2 linked regions of the Pelodiscus sinensis genome follow. The protein of the gene in region 1 interacts with the protein of each later gene in a pairwise test. Links are inferred from orthologs where the notes say so. Each region holds a gene or a part of one and is shown in the gene's direction. Other genes may lie near its edges. The genes, in order: COPB1 and COPB2.

The links.
Region 2: the proteins of COPB1 (region 1) and COPB2 interact in a two-hybrid assay, tested with the Homo sapiens proteins (2 studies listed by BioGRID, with this or other methods). The link is inferred for Pelodiscus sinensis from reciprocal best matches to the Homo sapiens genes COPB1 and COPB2.

Annotation. Positions count from the first base shown.
Region 1 is NC_134714.1:109,061,026-109,070,537, reverse strand, and holds the start of COPB1 (coatomer subunit beta), read left to right. Parts: upstream 1-5,457; 5' UTR 5,458-5,629; exon of another isoform or gene 5,630-5,633; intron 5,634-9,512. UniProt on the Homo sapiens protein: The coatomer is a cytosolic protein complex that binds to dilysine motifs and reversibly associates with Golgi non-clathrin-coated vesicles, which further mediate biosynthetic protein transport from the ER, via the Golgi up to the trans Golgi network.
Region 2 is NC_134720.1:11,279,731-11,289,624, reverse strand, and holds the start of COPB2 (coatomer subunit beta'), read left to right. Parts: upstream 1-5,878; 5' UTR 5,879-6,030; coding exon 6,031-6,033; intron 6,034-9,894. UniProt on the Homo sapiens protein: The coatomer is a cytosolic protein complex that binds to dilysine motifs and reversibly associates with Golgi non-clathrin-coated vesicles, which further mediate biosynthetic protein transport from the ER, via the Golgi up to the trans Golgi network.

The DNA of each region.
Region 1 (9,512 bases):
CCTTGCGGTTAGGTGCAAGAAGGCCTGGTTCCTCCTGTTTCCTTAATCCAAAATGTCAGTTAGCTGGGTCTTGCAGTTTTGGACCTATTTTAGATTTCAGGAGGCACTGAGTCATGCACCCCATCTGTGCACTGATCCAACTGAAGATTTTACCACAAGCTCTTTCATACTTTCTAAAAAGATATTAAGGTTATTTAATTTCTAGAAGATAATTAACCCTTACATATCACACTACACTACTGTTAAACCCAGCTCTTACAGGATAAGTCAAGTCCTGCAGGCCTTGCATTACTGGCATTACTATTAAAATATAGAAAAAGGGATAGGATAGGAAAAGATATAGCTGGGCAGGCTACAAAATTTAAAATGGCTATACCTTGGTTACTTCCTTTACTTCCTGAAACAAGAAGCTGTCCCTATTGTCTTCTATGCACTTATTAGGCATTTCGTGTTTGGTCATACTGTTTTTCCACCAGGTCTTGTGTTTTTGGACATTTTTGTTATTCTAGAAATGCCTTATACACCTCCTGCTATGCTCTTGCCCCTTTATCCTTTGGTCTTTTACCTGGTCTGCCTTTCATTTCCTTCTGGACCTTGGAACAAGCATACCATTACTTCCCTATTTATCATGTCTGTCCTTTTGAAACAAACTATGACAATCCATACCAATTTTTCAATGGCAAGACTTATTCCAAGTCTCCCTGCTGCCAATTAAATACTTGACCTTATGTACTAACATTCCCGTTCTTTCTGTGTATTCCTTGTGCTCTTTGCATTTGTGTATCAACATGCCAGATGTTGAGTGGATTCCCCCACCATTTTCTCTCTTGTTGCATTTCCCTTTTGCCCCTCCCCCCCAACTCGTCTTCTGTTAAGGTCACCTGCTGGTTTTTTTTTTTAACCTACCATCAGGCTTTTGTCACCTGCTCACTTTTGAACACTGCTGAAAGCCCTCCTTGATAGGTTCATGACTCTGTGTACAAAGATGCTCTTCCTCTTTTGGGGCAAGTTAACCCCATTTCTTCTCAGCAGTTTTCCTTCCCAGAATAGAATCCTATGCTTGAGGAAGCCAAAGCCCTACCATCAACACCATCTGTGTGGCCACATTTTCATCTCCAGGATGCCAGTAGGAGCCTCGCAGGCACACATAAGAGGGAAAGTGGCTCATAAGGGAAATCATGCGCTACTAATCTACTAGATAAACTTAAACAACAAATAGTCTGGTAGCACTTTAAAGACTAACAAAACATGTAGATGGTATCATGAGCTTTTGTGCGCACAGCCCACTTCTTCAGATGACCAGCATATACTAGAGTTCTTTGAGGGGGTCAACAAACATGTGGACAAGGGGGATCCAGTGGATATAGTGTACTTAGATTTCCAGAAAGCCTTTGACAAGGTCCCTCACCAAAGGCTCTTAAGTAAAGTGAGTTGTCATGGGATAAGAGGGAAGATCCTGTCATGGACTGATAACTGTTTAAAAGAGAGGAATCAAAGGGTAGGAATAAATGGTAAGTTTTCAGAGTGAAGAGAAGTAGCTAGTGGGGTTCCCTAAGGGTCTATCCTGGGACCAATCCTATTCAACTTATTTATAAATGATCTAGAGAAAGGGAAACAAAATACAGGACTATGTAGCACTTTAAAGACTAACAAGATGGTTTATTAAATGATGAGCTTTCGTGGGCCAGACCCACTTCCTCAGATCAAATAGTGGAAGAAAATAGTCACAACCATATATACCAAAGGATATAAAATGAACACATTTTTTTAATTGTATCCTTTGGTATATATGGTTGTGACTATTTTCTTCCACTATTTGATTTGAGGAAGTGGGTCTGGCCCACGAAAGCTCATCATCTAATAAACCATCTTGTTAGTCTTTAAAGTGCTACATCGTCCTGTATTTTGTTTTAGCTACACCAGACTAACACGGCTACATTTCTATCACTAGAGAAAGGGGTAAATGGTGACATGGCAAAATTTGCACATGATATCAAAAGTCTCAAGATAGTTAAGACCAAAGCAGACTGTGAAGAGCTTCAAAAAGATCTCACCAAAGTAAATGACTGGGCAACAAAATGGCAAATTAAATTTCATGTTGATAAATGTGAAGTAATGCACATTGGAAAAAATAATCCCAACTATACATACAATATGATGGGGACTCATTTAGTTACAGCTACTCAAGAGAGATAGCTTGGAGTCATTGTGGCATGAGAGGGCAGTGCCCAGCAGCTGGAGGGAGCTGGGATGAGCCGAGGCTTCCCCGGACCAATGGATGGAGGCAGGGTGGTGGTGGGAGAAGGGGGGGACAGGGATTGCTGGGACTAAGAACTGGGGAGGAGAGAGAGAGGAGAAAGCCTGAGATTGGTTGCGAGAGGGCAGTGTGGACTGGAGTGGCTGTCAGGCCAGCTGAGTCTAGGGCAAGGAATCAGATGGGCCCAGGCTGGGAGCCAGGATGGTGTGTGTTAGGGTAGTTTTGACAGGAAGGAGGGAAGGAGATAAATGGAACAAGCTGGGCAGGACTCCTGGGAGTGGTCCGAGTATGTTGGGCAGGCTGGAATCAGAGAGGCGGGTGGGGGGATCCTGCTGGGTGTGCTGGGCACTGACTGTGTAATCGCCTCATGGGGAAGTGTCAGTGGAGCCTGAATCTCCTATTCCTTTGCCTCACAGGGACTTATTGAGGAGCTGTCAGGCGCTATCCTTACCAACTCCCTCACTACTGTGAGCAGGCTCAGGTACTAAGCCCTTCGCAACTGGCTCCCTAACCACGGTGCTGCCCCTCCCACTCTGAGGCTCCCTCCCAAGCATGGTTTCTCCAGCAGAAGGGGCAGGAAGGTTCCTTGTTTTCTGCCTGAACTCTTCTTTTTGCTCCAATAATGCTATGGGGTTCTTGAGGAGAGGATCCCTCCCAGGTCAGATACAGGAGAACAGCAGAGTCAGGCCATTGTCTGTCTGGGAAGCCTTCACATCCCCTGTGTCAGTGCCTCAGTTTCCATTTTTGCCTGCCTGGGCCTGTTCCCTGTGGTTTCACATCCAGGTTGGTGCCAGTCCCACTCCTGCACTGCAGTCTAGTATCAACACCTCTCTCTTGCCAGCATCATAAATCCTGCCCTGGAGCCAGAGCTGGAGATGTACTTCCTGAGAGCTGCCCTGCATGCCGTCTTCACCTCAGGCAGGACACCTCCTAAGGGGAGAGAGATCTTCAGCTCCTCCCTGCCAGGATCAGAAGTGACCTTTGGTCCCTGCTCCCTTGATTGGCTGGAGCTCCAGAGCTAGGGGTTGGTGTGCAGAGATGGAAGAAGATGCAGTGTTGGATCCTTCCCTCGAGGGGCATCATGTTACCCTCCCAGGAGGACTTCTTCCTTCCTTCCTTACATAGCAGGCTATGTTTTGCCTAGGTGCCATCCATAGCAGCTTGGGTCTTCCCTACTTTGTTACCTACGAGGCCCTCCACAGATTCCTCCTAAGGTCATGGATTGAGGAGCCAGCTGGCACCCTGCCCTGAACCCTTGTTAATTGCCTGCATTGGGATCTGAATGAGCCAGGCCAGTACTTTATAGAGACCCACATCCTGTGGCAGGTGTAACCCAAGTTTCCCGAACTCTGACCCATAGCTCTCCTTTGCTTTGCAGAGTCTGAACCTGAATGCCAGGCTGGGGAACCTGCTGGCGAAGTCCTCGGCACAGACAGACCCTGTGGTAAGGCAGAGAGCAATTTTACCTTAACTCTGAGGAAGACTGGCAAGGAAAGACTGGAGGATCTATTTCCCACTTTGTCCTCCTAGTTCAGCCCCCAGTGGACTGTCCTATGTCAGGCAATTGGTGCAATGCACGTGTTTCACGCTCCTCGTTCCTTAGCCTCATCTCTGGGACTTCCCCTCTCTGGCTGCTCTGACCCAAGACTGTCTTTTGAGCTGGGGGTGGGAGTGGAGCACAGATGTACTGAAATCATTGGAAACAGTGAGCGGGGCTGGACAAAGGGAGGGACATTCCTAGGCCAGCTTGGACAACTAGGTCCCAGCTAGGGTTGCCAGGTGTCTGGTACTGAACCGAACAGTTCAGTATTTTCGCCTCCTGTCCGGTAAAAAAATCCAGAAAATACCGGACACCTGAAATGTCCTGTACTTTCTGATTTTTTTCCCGGCTAGGAGGCGAAAATCCCAGGCTATCCAGCTTAATACAGAGAGGTGCTTACCGGATTCTGCAGGTGAACTGTTCAGCCTGACACAGGGAGGCAAGATGGTGAGCGGCCACCATCAGCCTGTTAAGGCCAAAAAGCCTCACCATGCATTTCTTAAAGGGGCCACACTCTGTTTTTTTGTTTTTTGCTTAACAACTCTCAGGGGCCTTTTTTTGGTTCAGTATTTTTTCCAAAACCAGCTGGCAACTGTAGTGCCAGCCTGGCTCAGGCACAGGGCTCGCTCCTCTGCTACAGCCTCACAGCTCTGGGCATGGAGCAGGAGCGATGCAGTGAGAGGGGAGCGATGCAGTGAGTGATGCAACTCCTGGGGCAGGGAGGGGAACAGCCATAGGGAAGGGAAGTCACTGCCCAGATGAAGTGGCTGGGGCTACAGTCAAGCCCAGCAGTGCTGCAATGGGGCAGCTGTGGTGACACAATTGGTGACCGATCAATTTTTCTATCAGTAGTAGGTACCACCAGACATCCTCTTTTTGCTTACTTAGCAAATTCTGTCAGCCAAGATCCCCATCTATCAGCCTCTGCTATTTGCCATGGGTTCAAGACTGCCCTTCACATCCTCTGGTCCAAGACTCCCCTTCTGATTTTTCTTCCCCAGGCAGGCCAGTTCGTCCATTGTCACTATATCTTGCTTGATCCCAGGGCCTGCCCACAACATTTTGGGACCTGAAGCAGGACTCTCAAATGATGCCCCGATGCCCCCTCGCTTGGGCCAAAACTTTGAAAGGTCTCAATTCTGCCTTCTTCCTGCTCTACTCTGCCCATGGTACTGCAGACAGAATACACATGCATCAGCAGCAAACACAATTTTCTACATTCTAGGTCCTAGTGGTGCCCCCTCACAGTCTGGCACTTGAGGCAGCCACCTCAGTTCGCCTCATGGTAAGGCCAGCACTGCATGATCCCCCCCAGACAAGTACATTTCTGCCCCCTACTCAGACCCTGCTCACCCACCGGCTGCGACGTGGCCCCTTTGCAAACTCTCTAAAGAGCAAGCAAGGGCACGTGCCAGGGAACCTGCTCAGTTCGGATGCGCATGCTCAGTACCCTCCTAAGCAGGGCCTTCGGGGCGGGCGCTCGGAGTCGCAGCGTTGGTGTGAGTTGGAGCCACGCCCCCCGCGCTCTGATGAGGACACCCGGGGGCAGTGACGTGGCTGCTCAGCTAGTGCCTGCCTGGAGACCGCGGCTGGAGGTCGCGGTCACGTGGTGTGAGAGCCGCGCATGCGCGGGGCTGTATTCCCCCCTCCCTCCCCCCACACACACGCACCGGAACCAGGCGACTTTGTGCCTTGCTGCGCGCGGAGGAGGCGTGTCCTGCTGCGGCCGCCGTAGTACCGATGTGGCCTGTCGCGGGGAGTGGTTCCACGTCAGCCACCGCCGAACGGGCAGAGACGGGGCTCCGGGGGTCCCGCCGCGGGCAGCACTGGAGGCAGGTACAGCGCTTCCAGGGGCTCGGGGCGTGCTGCGGGCCGTGGTCGGAGAGCGGCCCCCGCCCCCTTCCGGAGCCGGCGGCCTCGCTCCGCTCTGCCGGGGAGTCGGGCCAACGCCTGGCCGCGGGTGCGAGGGCGGGTAACCGGCGCGGCCCCCGCGCAAGGGGGTAGCGCGCCACGGAGCCGGGCCCTGCGAGGTCTGCTCGCGCCCCGGCTTGCTGAGGCAGCGAGGTTTAACCGTCCTGAGATTCGTTTTGCCCCTGTGGGCCCGCAGCAGTTACCCGGGCTGCCCGCAGGATCCCACGCCGCCTGCCCCAGCGCCTCGCACGGGCCGGGGCCGAGGCTGCAGCTTTGCTACGAGTTCACCTCTGCTGGGAAGCGTCGTTCTCTTGGGGCTGAAACTCTCCGTGTCAAGTAAAATTGTGGAGAGTTTCAGCAAAGACCCACTCAGCTGGTGTGTGTGTAACTTCTGGGTTTTAAACGTGCTGCTTGTTGTGATCACGTAGCAGTATCGTTAAATCCATGGCGTTACGGTGCACACAAGGACAATGACAAGTTGTAGCTGTAGGTAGCTATAATAGAGGTTATGAAGTAAATCTTTGTTTACTATTCTTTTTAATAGTACTTTGTGTGCTATTTAAGTTCCTCATCTTGCAAACATTTGAATAACTTTGTGCAGGAGTATTCGCTTTGAAGTTAATGGCCCGTGCTTAAAATTAAGTCAATATGAATTTTCAGGTTTGGGGCCATGGTATTTTTTTTTATATATAGCCATTCTGTGGTATGTTGACATAGAGAATATTATAGTTAGGAGTGTTAGTGTGTAATTGAAGTCATGTGATTGCATCAAAATTTAGCAGTTACATGACTATTACATAGTCCCTGGGGACAGAGCTGGCAGTCAGTGCACTCTGGCCCTACTCATGGGGAGCCCCCTGCCATCCTGTGTTGCTGCCTCTCAGAAGTAGCAGTATGGGGTGGCAGATGGGAGTTGGTCTGCAAGGGGAGCTGGCTTAAAAACAGAGGCAGGAGCGTGGGACGGTATACCCTGTATGCTGCTCCACATCCCACAGAGCAATCTCTGTCCACAGCAAGCCTGGATGTGCCAGGACAGGACAGGACAGGGAGGGTGGGTGGGGGGCAAGCGACTCCACAGAGCCAGTGCTTCTGTCCTCGTCCCCATGCCCCGTTGCCTCTGTAGGAGGCAGAAAGGAGGGGCAGGCAAATCCATATGCGTATTTGGATCCTGCTTGCCCCCTTCACCCTCGGTGCTGCTGCTGGAATTAGCAGTGCAGGGGCAGGGATCCGTGGAGTCGGTGCCCACCTGCCCCCCCTTGCTGCCTCTGATACAAAGGCAGCAAGGGGGAGAGAATGCCTGTAGTCAACAGGATTAACCAATAAGCCTTGGTTTATCAGTTAATCGTGTAGTCATTTACATGTTGACATCCCTAAGTATAGTTACTATCTGAAGTGTTTCATTTTTTCATAAAAAATAGGAAAATGTGAACTAAAACATGCGCTTTAAAATTTTGAACTAATATTGTCGCTAGTTTTCATCAGGGAATAGTTACTTAGAAAAATGACAGTTTTTGAACTGATGATGTAAGCTGGAGATATAAAATCCTGTTTAACTGGTTAATTATATTGTTTAACCAGTTAACCGATTTAAAGAGGGGTGAGTGGGGGGGCCCCTGTCTGCCTCTGGGTGGAATGTCCCCTTCCCTTCCCTTCCTCCTCCTCCCCAGGCAGAGGCTGCTTCAGTCCAGTCAGAGCAGCCCCTGGCTGTAGCCTTCCCACTGCAGGCAGGGGCTGCATGGGCTGGGATGCCAGAACATCCCCTGCTTGTGGAGGTCCAGGGTACATGTCAGGCAGGGGCTGTTCTGGCATCCTGATTGGAGCAGCCCTTGCCTGTGGGGTGCACACCAAAGGCAGGGGCTGTGCTAGAGTAGTCCCCTGGCTGCAGTAGGCAGGGAGCTGCTCCACCACTGGTAAGCCTCAAATCCCTATTATAAGCAATTATAAATTTACCTTGCAATCTTGATATGTTTTAGCCTGTGTCTTCAGAGAGTGCTAAAATATGTGCAGTTGCTGAAAAACAGTTATGCAGCTCTGTAATTCTAGGGAATGGTTTAGGGCATTGGGGCTCAAGCAGAGTGCAAATACCCTGGGGGGATATGCAGGAGAGGAAAAGTCAACTCATACGAATATTTGCCTACTTTTTCAACATGATACATAAAAAGCACTAGCAATATCAGTACAAACTAAATTTTCATACGAACAATGACTTATTTATACTGCACTATATGTGATGCACCAAAACGTATTCCAATTGATTTATAATTGGATGGTAAAAATAAAAGAGCAGTTTTTTTACTAACTGTTGTGATGCTTTTGTATTTTTGTCTGATTTTTATAAGCATTTTTATGCAGTTATGAAATGTTTTATATTAGCACCCTGTTTTATATACACTAATCAACAATACTTGATTATGCTGTCTATGAAGTCTCACATGGGTCTCAAGATAGGGTAGGGGGAGCAGAACATTTGTATTAGATGCCATGTAAAAATTCTCAGCACTTGCTGCATATTTTGTTGCACTTATCATCATCATAAGCTCAAAGTTTCACATTTCTCAAAATGAGTAAGTTCCAGCAGGTGAGCTCATTGGGACACAAGATCACATGGGTAGTTGACATTGATGTAGTCCATTATCATAATTCTGATGGAGCTTTTAACTTTAGCAGACTTTCAGACTTATCACAGTACCCTTAACCATCTTGATGCTGCCTTTTCTTTGCTTTGGAGTGTTTGGAAAAGATATCCACATTGTCCTGTCTCAGAGCCTGAATCCTGATTAGCCTTCAGATCTCTTAGTTTTGAAAGAGAGCTGGACAAATTTTTGAGTGCAATTGTATGAGGGGGTTGCCTGTGATGGTAGTGGGCAGAGCTCAGTAGCCCTGGAGCTCAATTTCAATTTATTTCCTTTGTGCATAAAGCTTATCCTAAAGAGCTTCTGTTTTGTCACCAGGCTCAGGAAGCAGTTCCGGTCTCCCCAATGTATTGGGGAAGATTTTTTTAAAAAAATCTCCTAAAGCATCAGACAATGGCCATGGCTGGAGATGAGACTTGTCGGGGTGGGCTTGGGCCAGGTCTCTGCACGACATTCAGCTTTCTCTCAGATGCTTGACTAGCTGATTATTGCTCATTTACTCAGGATCTAACTGACCACTAGGTGTGAGAGCAGGAAGGAATTCTGTCTTTAAGTCAGATTGACAGTGACATGGCAGGTTGTGCTTTCCTTTGCAGCATATGGGTGCAAAACACCTACTTGGACTAGCTGGGTATATCTCACTTATATATTTCCTGCCATTAGAACATAGGATGGCTGTACTGCGTCAGACCAATGGTCCACCTAACCCACTATTCTGTCCTCTGATAGTGACCAGTGCCATGTTTTAGAAGGAATGAGCAGAACAGGTAATCATCAAATGATCCTTCCCTTGTCAGCTATTCCCAGCTTCTGGCAAAGAGAGGCTGGGGAAGGTGTTCCTGACCATTATGGCTATCATCCATGAATTTATCTAGTTCTTTTTTGAACCCTGTGATAGTCTTGGCCTTCACAACATGCTCTGGCAGTGAGCTCCATGGGTTGACTGCATTCTGTGCAGACATACTTCCTTTTGTTTGTTTTTAAATCTGCTTCCTATTAATTTCATGTGGTGATTTTTAGTTACTGTGTTACGAGTCATGATTTTATATAGACCTCTATCATATCTCTCCCTAGTTGTCTCATTTCCATGTTGAAAAGTCCCATTTTTACTGAATTCTCCTCATATGGAAGCCATTCTATACCCCTAATCACATTTGCTGCCCTTTTCTGA
Region 2 (9,894 bases), on another chromosome or scaffold:
TTTTTTGAGGGGAGCAACTGAATATAGGAAACATAGTTCACAACACTACATACTTATTAATTGTTTTAATGTTGTAGGATTTGATGTGTAAAGAAGATCAGGTGTGCCATCAAGTATTTAAGAAAAAGTAAACTGACCAGAAAACCTAGACCAGTCCATACCATGCAGTTAATTTGTTGTGCTCATTTAAACGGCAATGTAATACTGCCCGGTTAATGTATTTCTGTGCATTTTTAATAAGGCCAATGTCCTGTAACACATCATAACCAAAGTTATACATATTATTTCTTATTAACTTTGTTGTCCTGCTCTTTTTAGGCATAATCTGCCTTGCCAGTCCTCCTCCTGGATCATTGCTAATATTCATTTTCTTCACTTTTTGTTTTCAGACCATGAAGCCTCTCTGGCAGAAGACTAGTGACCACATTGGCTTCCCCTACTACACATTCACAGTTCTTTTATCATCTTTGCTAAAAAGTTCTACCTCTCTCCATTCCACTATTTCTGGGGGAATTTTGTTCTGCTGCACTTCACATGTGCAGAATTCCCCACTCCTTTCCCCCCCAAAACCGTTCTTCTAGGAAGGCACTGCAATTATACCTTTTGTCCACCAGAACCTGCTGTCATGCCAAAAAAGAGAGTTACCAGCTAGGGTTGCCAATGGTACATAATCACACAAACTCAAGCACCCTTGCCTGCCCTTTCCCTGAGGCAAGACCATACCCTGCTCCTTCTCTAAAGCCCTGGCCTCTGCTTAGTCCATGCCCCTTCTTCCATCGCTTGCTCGCTCTCCCCCACTCACTTTCACTGGAATGGGGGCAGTGGGTTGAGGTGTGGGAGGGAGTGCAGGCTCTGGGCTGGAGCCAAAGGGTTTGGAGTATGTGAGGGAGCTCTGGGCTTAGTCTGAGGCAAAGGATTAGGTTGTAGGAGGGGGTGAGGCGCATGGGCACTGGGAGTGAGTTTGGGTGAATGAGGGGCCTCAGGGCTGGTGCATGGGGATAGGGAGTATGTGTGTGGGTGTCAAGTTGTGGAATCTGGGTGATGTTTACCTCAAGCAGATCCAAATCCCAGTTGGTGGCAGTGCAAGGCTAGGACAGGCTCTGTGCCTTCCCTAACCCCATGTCACTCCTGGAAGTGGTCAACCCTACTTTGGGTAGTGGTGGTAGATCTATGTGCAGTCTCTGCGTACAAGCACTATCTCTGCAGCTCCCATTGGACACAGTTCCCAGCCAATGGGAGCTGCAGAGTCACTGAAGTTAGGGACAGCACATAGACACTACGGCTGTGTCTACACTGCACCCCTTTTCCGGAAAAGGGATGCAGATTAGACACATCGTTATTGCAAATGAAGCGGGGATTTAAATATCCTCCGCTTCATTTGTATAAACATGGCTGCTGCTTTTTTCCAGCTCGGGGCTTTGCCGGAAAAAAGCGCCAGTCTAGACGGGGATCTTTCAGAAAATAAAGCCTTTTCCGAAAGATCCCTTATTCCTCTTAAAATCAGGGGTGCAGTGTAGACACAGCCTACATCTATACTGACACTTTCTTTTCTCATTTCCTGAACAAATGAGGAAAAACGGCTCTTGCGCAAGAGGGGGGTTTTGCACAAAAAGGAGCCATCTACACTGCTCCTTTTTGCACAAAAGCCTCTTGCACAAAAATGGCTGCTAATTAATTATGCAAATGAAGCACGGCGATATTCTAATCTGCGCTTCATTTGCATAAGCTTTTGCAGAAGAAAGCTGCAGTATAGACGTAGTCAGAGAATCCCTATTTCCCCCATCTAGGGGCCACAGGGAGAGAAACTTCTAGGAATGTCTCAGGATAAGAGCAGGAAAGGAACCACTGGACTTTTTGCAGGAAGGGCACAGGAGTTAGTGACAGCATAAAGCCAGGAGCTGAATTGTAGTCAGAGTGCAGGGAAATATGGTGAGGGATGGTGATGCAGGGACACACAGCAACAGGTTCCTGTATAAATGGGGAAGGGTAGGGGTCTGCATGGGGGGAGGCTCCCTAACTCCCTAATAATCTCTTCCTATCCCCCAAAGTACCATACTTCTCCCTCCTACATCCAACTGCCCTCCAAGTTCACACTCAGACTCCTTTCCACTACTTCCATCTCTCTCAGCTTCTCTGTTCCTCCTGTTCCCCCAAGTCTTTGCACTGGCTTCTGAGGAGTGCAGAAAATACATGTCTATTTTGTAATTTAAATTAATTATTACTCAAAGTTCTGTATTAATATTCCTAGTAAGTAATTTGACGAATATTTCCTGGATTTTTTTGTTCTCTATATTGCTAGACATACTTGCTCATAGGTATTTTGAAATAATTACCAAAATAATTGAATCTGACATGATTATATTGTATCATTTGAACAAATAAAATATGCAGAACTTTAAAATATTGGGTGCAGAATGTTTAGTTTTTTATTCAACATTCCCCCAGAAGTATTAAGAACACAAAAATATAAGAACATAAGAATGGCCATACTGGGTCAGACTAAAGGTCCATCTAGCCCAGTTTCCTGTCAGCCAGTAGTGGCCAATGCCACATACCCCAGAGGGAGAGAACACAACAGATAATCTGCACATGAGCCTTCTCCTGTTACCCATTTCCAGGCAAACAGAGACTAGGGACATCATTCCTACCCATCCTGGCTAATAGCGATTGATGGACCTAACCTCCATGAATCTATTAAGCTCTTTTTTGAACCCTGTTAAAGTCCTGGCCTTCACCACATCCTCTGGCAAGGAATTCCACAAGTTGACTGTGTGCTGAGTGAAGAAAAAGTTCCTTTTGTTTGTTTTAAACCTGCTGCCTATTAATTTTATTTGGTGACCCCCTAGTTCTTATATTGTGGGAATAAGTACCTTTTCCTTATTCACTTTTTCCACAGCAGTCATGATTTTATAGACTTCTATCATATCCCCTCTTGGAGTGTATCAACACTGCATGGCTAAACTTGAAATAAGCTATGCATGTTGAGTTACATCAATTGCGTATCTTATTTCAAAATAGCTTATTTTGAAATAGGGAAAGTCCTCACAGCATTTATTTGGAAATAGTGCACTCTTTCTCCGACTTCCCTTACTCCTCGTACAATGAGGGTTGCAGAAATCAGAGTAAGAAGTCCTCCAGCTTAACAGTATTTTGACATTATTTCGAAATAACTGCCTGCTGTGTAGATGCGGACTAAGTTATTTAGTAACAGAGCTGGTTATTTCGAAATAGTGTTACAGTGTAGATGTACCCTTAGTCTCCTTTTTTCTAAGCTGAAAAGTCCAAGTCTTTTTAATCTCTTTTCAAATGGGACATGTTCCAAGCCTCTAATCATTTGTGTTGCCCTTTTCTGAACCTTTTCCAATATATTTTTTGAGCTGAGGCGACCACATCTGTATGCAGTATTCAAGATATGAGTACCATGATTTTATATGGAGGCAATAAGATGTTCTCTGTCTCATTCTCTATCCCTGGTTTTATGATTCCTAACATTCTATTTGCAGTTTTGACTATTAATGATTCCAAGATCTCTCTCTTGAGTAGTTGTAGCCAGATTAGTCCCCATCATATTGTATTCCATGGAATCCTACACTCACTCATCTGGCAGGGGAGATATTATGGCTATAAGGTAGTTTTCCCTTTGTGAGGCTATTGCACTCCAGTTGTGGTGACTCCTACCATATCTCCAATTATGGGAAATATGACTACATAAGTTGAGTGTGGTGGAAACTCCGAGGTTAGGGGAGAGTAGGAGGATGGGCAATCCAACAACCACCAGCTGCTTCCGACTCACTATTTAAGTCTTCTTCCCTCTCTGTGCAAGATCTTAAGTTCCCCAAAGATAAAAACAAATCTCGTGTATGCTCATATGCTCCTTAGAACACTCTTCCACTTCTTTCTCCAACACTGATGTTTTTGGTTAGCTCTCTTTCTTCAGTTTCTCCTGCTCTCATGACTTATAAGCATTTCAAGGTTTACAATACTATATATCAGCTCTCCTGAATTGTGAATTGGCCTGGGTTTTTATTGTCCTTCTAGTTTCTGATGTATTCGAGAAACATATGCATAACTTATTAATTCTATTTGACATTATACTACTATGAAAACTGCTGTATTGGCAATATCCTTCTGTGTACCCTCTATGAGCTGATGGGGTTGTCAAATCTCTGCAATACCAAGAACAATGATGAGTCATTGTTACAGCTTGACAACTGATCAAAATGGTTAGAGTAAGAAGGGTATGAGAGTTGGGAAACCAGGAGGCTGGGGGTTTGGAGCAGTGGAAAGTTACCAAGACAACCAAAGTGACAAGTGACTAAGAAGCAGGGTAGATAAAAATCAACAAATTAAAAAAAAGAAGAAATCAGATATTTTTATTTAATCAGATTTTTTGACAATTTTTTTTGAGGAAAAATGTATCTAAAGATAGTTTCATTTACATTATAGCTCAAAGATATATCAACATGGAATAGGGATTATAAATTCTAATTTTATACAATGAAACAATATATTAATGTAGGCTACGTCTACACTGGCATGATCTTGCACAAAAACTCTTTTGCGGAAGAGTTCTTCTGCAAAAACTCTTCCAGAAGAGAGCATCTACACTGGTATGTGCTTTTGCGCAAGAGATGCAAGAAAGTTCTGATGGCCATTTTAACCATAGGGCTTTCTTGCGCAAGAAATTCATGTTGCCTATCTACACTGGCCTCTTGCGCAAGAACAGTTGCGCAAAAGGGCTTATTCCTGAGTGGGAACATCAGAGTTCTGGGGCAAGAAGCCCTGATTTCATACATTAGACCGTCAGTTTACTTGCGCAAGAATACACGGCCAATGTAAACAGGCAGAAAGTTTTTGCGCAAGAGCGGCCGCTTTTGCACAAGATCGCGCCAGTGTAGACACAGCCCTAGTGTTTAAGAAAAGTTTTGTAAATGAATTCCAATAGTTCATGGATTATGGACCCAATCTTATGGGATTCCAGAAGGTTCTGTATAGATTATTTAGGTTAATCTTTCAGTGTACCCAATAAGACTCAGTGCTCAGTCCAGAAGATACCATCAGAGATGCTTAGTTTTGCAGTTCTTAAACTGTGGATCTGTGTCTCCAGAGTTAACATTGATTCATAATAGCTATTCCCTCCGTCCCTCTTCCTCACCCCACCTTCTGTACTAAATCTGATGTCAGTTTAATAATGTGTTTGCTTTTTCATTGTATTCCTTTGGTATATATGGTCATGCCAATTCTCTTCCAGAATATGATCTGAGGAAGTGGATCTGGCCCACAAAAGCTCATCACCTATTAAACCATCTTGTTAGTCTTTAAAGTGCTGCATAGTTTTTCCTTTTGTTTTTGCAAGATCAGATTAACAGGGCTGCCTCTCTATTATATTCTGGAGCACCTGGCATTATTGGCCACTGCTGGCAGACCGGATGCTTGGCTAGATGGACCTTTGGTCTGACCCAATGGCCCTTTGCCCCTCATCTTGCCCTAGGCTAATGTCCAGAGAACTGCGGGGAGCATCAGTGCGAGGCTCTGCGCTTGGGCGGGGGTCACGGCCACGAAGTGAACAGTCCCCTGCCGGCGGCTCGATGCCCCCGCTTCTGTAACTGGGATGAAGAAGGGACGCTTTGGAGACCCCCGCATAGAAACTACAATTCCCAGCATGCGCCGCGGCGCACCTGCCCACGGCCGCTGGTCTCACTTCGCTGTGCAATGACTACGTGTCCCAGGATGCATTACGGCACATATGGACTGCAATTCAATCAGGCAGGCCCCGCTCCTAAGGCTTGATGACAGCACCTCTGAGGGAAGCTGGTGCCGTGGCCTACTTTGGTCTCCGTTGGTCCTGAACCGTGGGGACAGGAAGTCTCGTCCTCGCGATGTTTCAGATGCGGAAGCGCTTGTGTACGGCGTTCTCGCTTTTATCCCTTATCTCGCGAGACCTGTAGGGCCGGAAGCTCCACGTAGTTCAACTGAGTTGGAGTCGGAGAGCGACGTCTCAGCTGCTGCCGGGTTGGGGGCGGAGGAGCCATGGTGAGTCCGCGGCGGGGGGCGAGGGGAGCTGCCCGCGGGGTGTCTAGAGCTGATCCCTCGCCGGGGGGCTGTCGGGGGCCGGGGCGCTCCCGCTCCTGCAGGCCGGCGCTGTCCCCGAGGCCGCGGGCCGGGCTTCAGGGTTCAGAACGCGCGCCCCGGGGTTGCTCAGCGATGTCCCAGGAGGTGCATCAGCCCAGCCCATCTCGCTATTGGGCTGGTTTTGCAGCAGGTTGCGTGAAAGGCCGAAGGGAGCCAGTACAATTAGCGCTGTCAAGCGATTAAACGTTGGGTGTTAGTGACGGGTAAGGCCATTTGTTTAGTTGGCATGTTTGCTACTTTCTGCACGTTTGCAAATATGACTTCTGTTACAAAATAGAATAGAAAAGTGCTCACTTTATTTTTATTACATGATTTTGCTCTGTTAAAAAAATATTTATTCAGTTCCCATTAAGTGTTGTAGTGCAATCTCTTGATCATGAAAGTTGAATTTATCATGAAATTAGAATAATGTACAAAAAAACTGCATTCAAAAATAAACTAATGTAGAGCTACTCCAGTGGTGGGCAGTAATTTTTGTAGGAGTACCACTTCACCATTGTTGGTAGTGGCTGCAGGCCAGGTCCAGGGGGCGGGGCCTTAGATGGAAGAAATGGGCCTTGGGTGGAAGAGGTACTTTAGGCACTGCCTGCGGGTGAGGGGAGGAAGGCTGTGTATGCTCCTTAATGGGTTGTGGGATTGAACAATGTCTACTGTCCCCAACCAGCTGGGGTGCACAGCACCTAAAAGAAACCATCAGCTGTTTTGAACAGCTGGTGTTTCCTCTGGCGCTGCACGCCCTGGTGGGGGAGGAAATGTCACGTGCTTTCCCGCCCTCCAGGTCTGATTAGCATGTGTGGAGTGGTGGGGCAGGGTGAGCTATGGGCTGGATTAATGGCTGGGTGGGCTGAATCTGGCCTGTCCTCCTTCATGTTCAGCAAATCACTCAAACTTGTTCATTTACACTTCCAGGGATAATTTTACCTGTTAACATGTCACCTGAAAGTGAGACCACATGTTTACTTTCTACTTTTGATACCTGTTCTTCCCTTGTCAGATATATATAGTAGCCCAGTGTCTGTAACGATGACGTACATGGCCCCGCCCCAGCCATGTACATCACCTCCCTGCCCCCATTCCTCTCCTGCTGTGGTGTTCGACTGAGTGCTGTGCCACTCAGCTGGCCCGCGGCGGGGGATCAAGCAGCGGCAAGCGGCCGTTTGGGGTCCGTGCTCCCCATGCAGCATCGCTTGCTCCCCTGCCGCTGCCCAGCTCCGTGGCGTAGCACTCAGCCGAGTGCCACGGTGGGAGGGGAAAGAGGTGGGTGGTGACATACACGGCCAGGGGGCGGAGCCGTGTACGTCACCGAACCGACCCCCTTCCTCTCCAGCTGTGGCGCTCGGCTGAGTGCTGCGTGCTCAGTCGAGCCACCGTGGGAAAGCCCAAATGGCCGCTTGCACCGCTGGCTCCCCCACAGCAGCCTGGCTGAGCATGCAGCACTCAGTTGAGTGCCACGGTGGGAGGGGAAAGGGGGGGCGGGGCGGTGATGTACACGGCCCCGCCCCCTGGCCGTGTACGTCACTGCCTGACCTCCTCCCCGCCCCCCCCCCCCCCATGGTGTCCCAGCTGAGTGGGCAGCACTCAGCCAAACACCACGGCGGGAAGGGAAGGGGAGCGGGGAGAGAGGCAGGAGAAGAGAAAAGGGAGAGTGAGAGGCAGGAGGGGAGAAGAGAAAGAAAGAGACAGAGGCAGGAGGCGGAGGAGAGCTGAGAGAGAGAGGGGGAGGCAGTAGGAGGAGGGGAGAGAGACCAAGAGAGACAGAGACCGGAGGCTCAGGGGAGAAGACCAAAGCGGAGGAGAGACCTGAAAATCCCATCTGATGACAGGCTAATTGGCTAGTAATTAAGAAGTGGGTAGCATTATCTCCATTAAATATAAACAAATGTGTATGTCTTAAGAGTTGGCTGAATAAGCAATGGAACTGAATGTATTTGTAGGTGCTAAAGTTTTACACTGTTTATTTTTGAGTGCAGTTTTGTAACAAAAAAAATTATAAGTTGTGCTTTCACAATATAGAGACTACTAAAGTGATTTTTATGTAGTGAATTGAAAAATACTATTAGTGCAAATATATTAATTGAATTATAAGATGAGCACTGTACTCTGCATTTTGTGTTGTAACTGAAGTCAATGTCATTGAAGACCTCCAAAAATACTTAATTTCATTTTGGATGCTGTTCTTAACTGAGTGGTCAAAACTGCAATTAATTGACAGCCCTAGTACAACTTAAAATTTCATACAGATGATGACTTGTTTGTACTCTTCTACATACTAAATTAGCATGTTTCAACTGAGGAATTATTATTTATTTTATAGTTCTACTAGAAGACTTACCTGTCATTCCTCAGGTCCTTCAGAGTAGGGGAGTTGAGGTGTAAGGGGTGCAGGAATCAGAGCAGGGAGTTGGGAGATGTGAGCAGGCCCAGGGGAGGGGGTAGAGGCATCTGGTGGCTGCTCCCCAGGGATAATTGAGCTGTGCTGCCAGCCAACAGCTGCTCCCCGGAGCTGGGGTGCTTACTTATCCCCTTCTGGTCACTAGTAAGTATAACTCTCGCTATCACACCTCCTCACTTTGTGTTTCACAAACAGTCGCATTCCATGCACATCCCATTGTCTTGGCACAATAAAACCCTGTCCTTGCTTTAAGTTTTGATGAAAGGAAGCTGCAAACAAATTGTGGTGATTCTAGCTTTTACTATTTAGGAGGAATTCTTGAACAAATTGATTCATAGATGGACACGCAGAATCAGGGTATAATGGGAGGTGTACTTTGTGGTGCTCCTTTAAAAGAAATCTTAAATTGCAGTAAGGGACATTAGGAAAAACTTCTGAACTCTCAGGGTGGTTAAGCATAGGCATAAATTGCCAGATTGTGGAAAACCTGTAACTGAAGATTCTTAAGAGCACAATAGACAAACGTTTGTCAGGCATGGCCTAGACTTGACCTCTCGAGGTTTCTTCCAGTATAATCTGTGGTTCCATGACTGTATGAACATTGACTTCTGTATTTTATCAGGTTTTTTTTAAAGGCCTTAGAATCATAGGGTTAGAAGAGATCTTAGGAGGTTGAGTCCAACCCCCTTTTAAAAGCAGAATGAATCCCAACTAAATCCTCCCAGCCAGAGCTTTGTTAAGCTGGGACTTAAAAACCTCTAGGGATGGAGATTCCAGCACCTTCCTAAGTATCCCATTCCAGTGCTGCTCCACCCACCTAATGAAATAGTTTTTCCTAATATCCAACCTAGACCTTCCACACTGCAACTTGAGACCATTGCTCCTTGTTCTGTCATCCGTCACTTCTGAGAATAGCCTCTCTCCATTGTCTTTGGAACTACCCTTCAGGTAGTTGAAGGCTGCTATCAAATCCCCCCTCACTCTTTTCTTTTGTAGACTAAATAAGCCCAGATCCCTCAGCCTCTCCTCATAAGTCATATGCCTCAGCCTCCTAATCATTTTGGTTGTCCTCCACTGGATTCTCTCCAATGTGTCCACATCCTTTCTGTAATGGGGAGCCCAGAATTGGACACAATACTCCAGATGTGCCATGATTAGTACTTAAAGGGGAATAATCACTTCTCTAGATCTGCTGGCAATGCTCCTACTAATGCAGCCTAATATGCCATTAGCCTTCTTGGCTACAGGGACACACTGTTGACTCATATTCAGCTTCTCATCAACTGTAATCCCCAGGTCCTTGTCTGTAGAACTGCCTTTAGCAGTGCTTGGGATAGTGCCCATCTATAAATAGGGAAATAAGAACTACC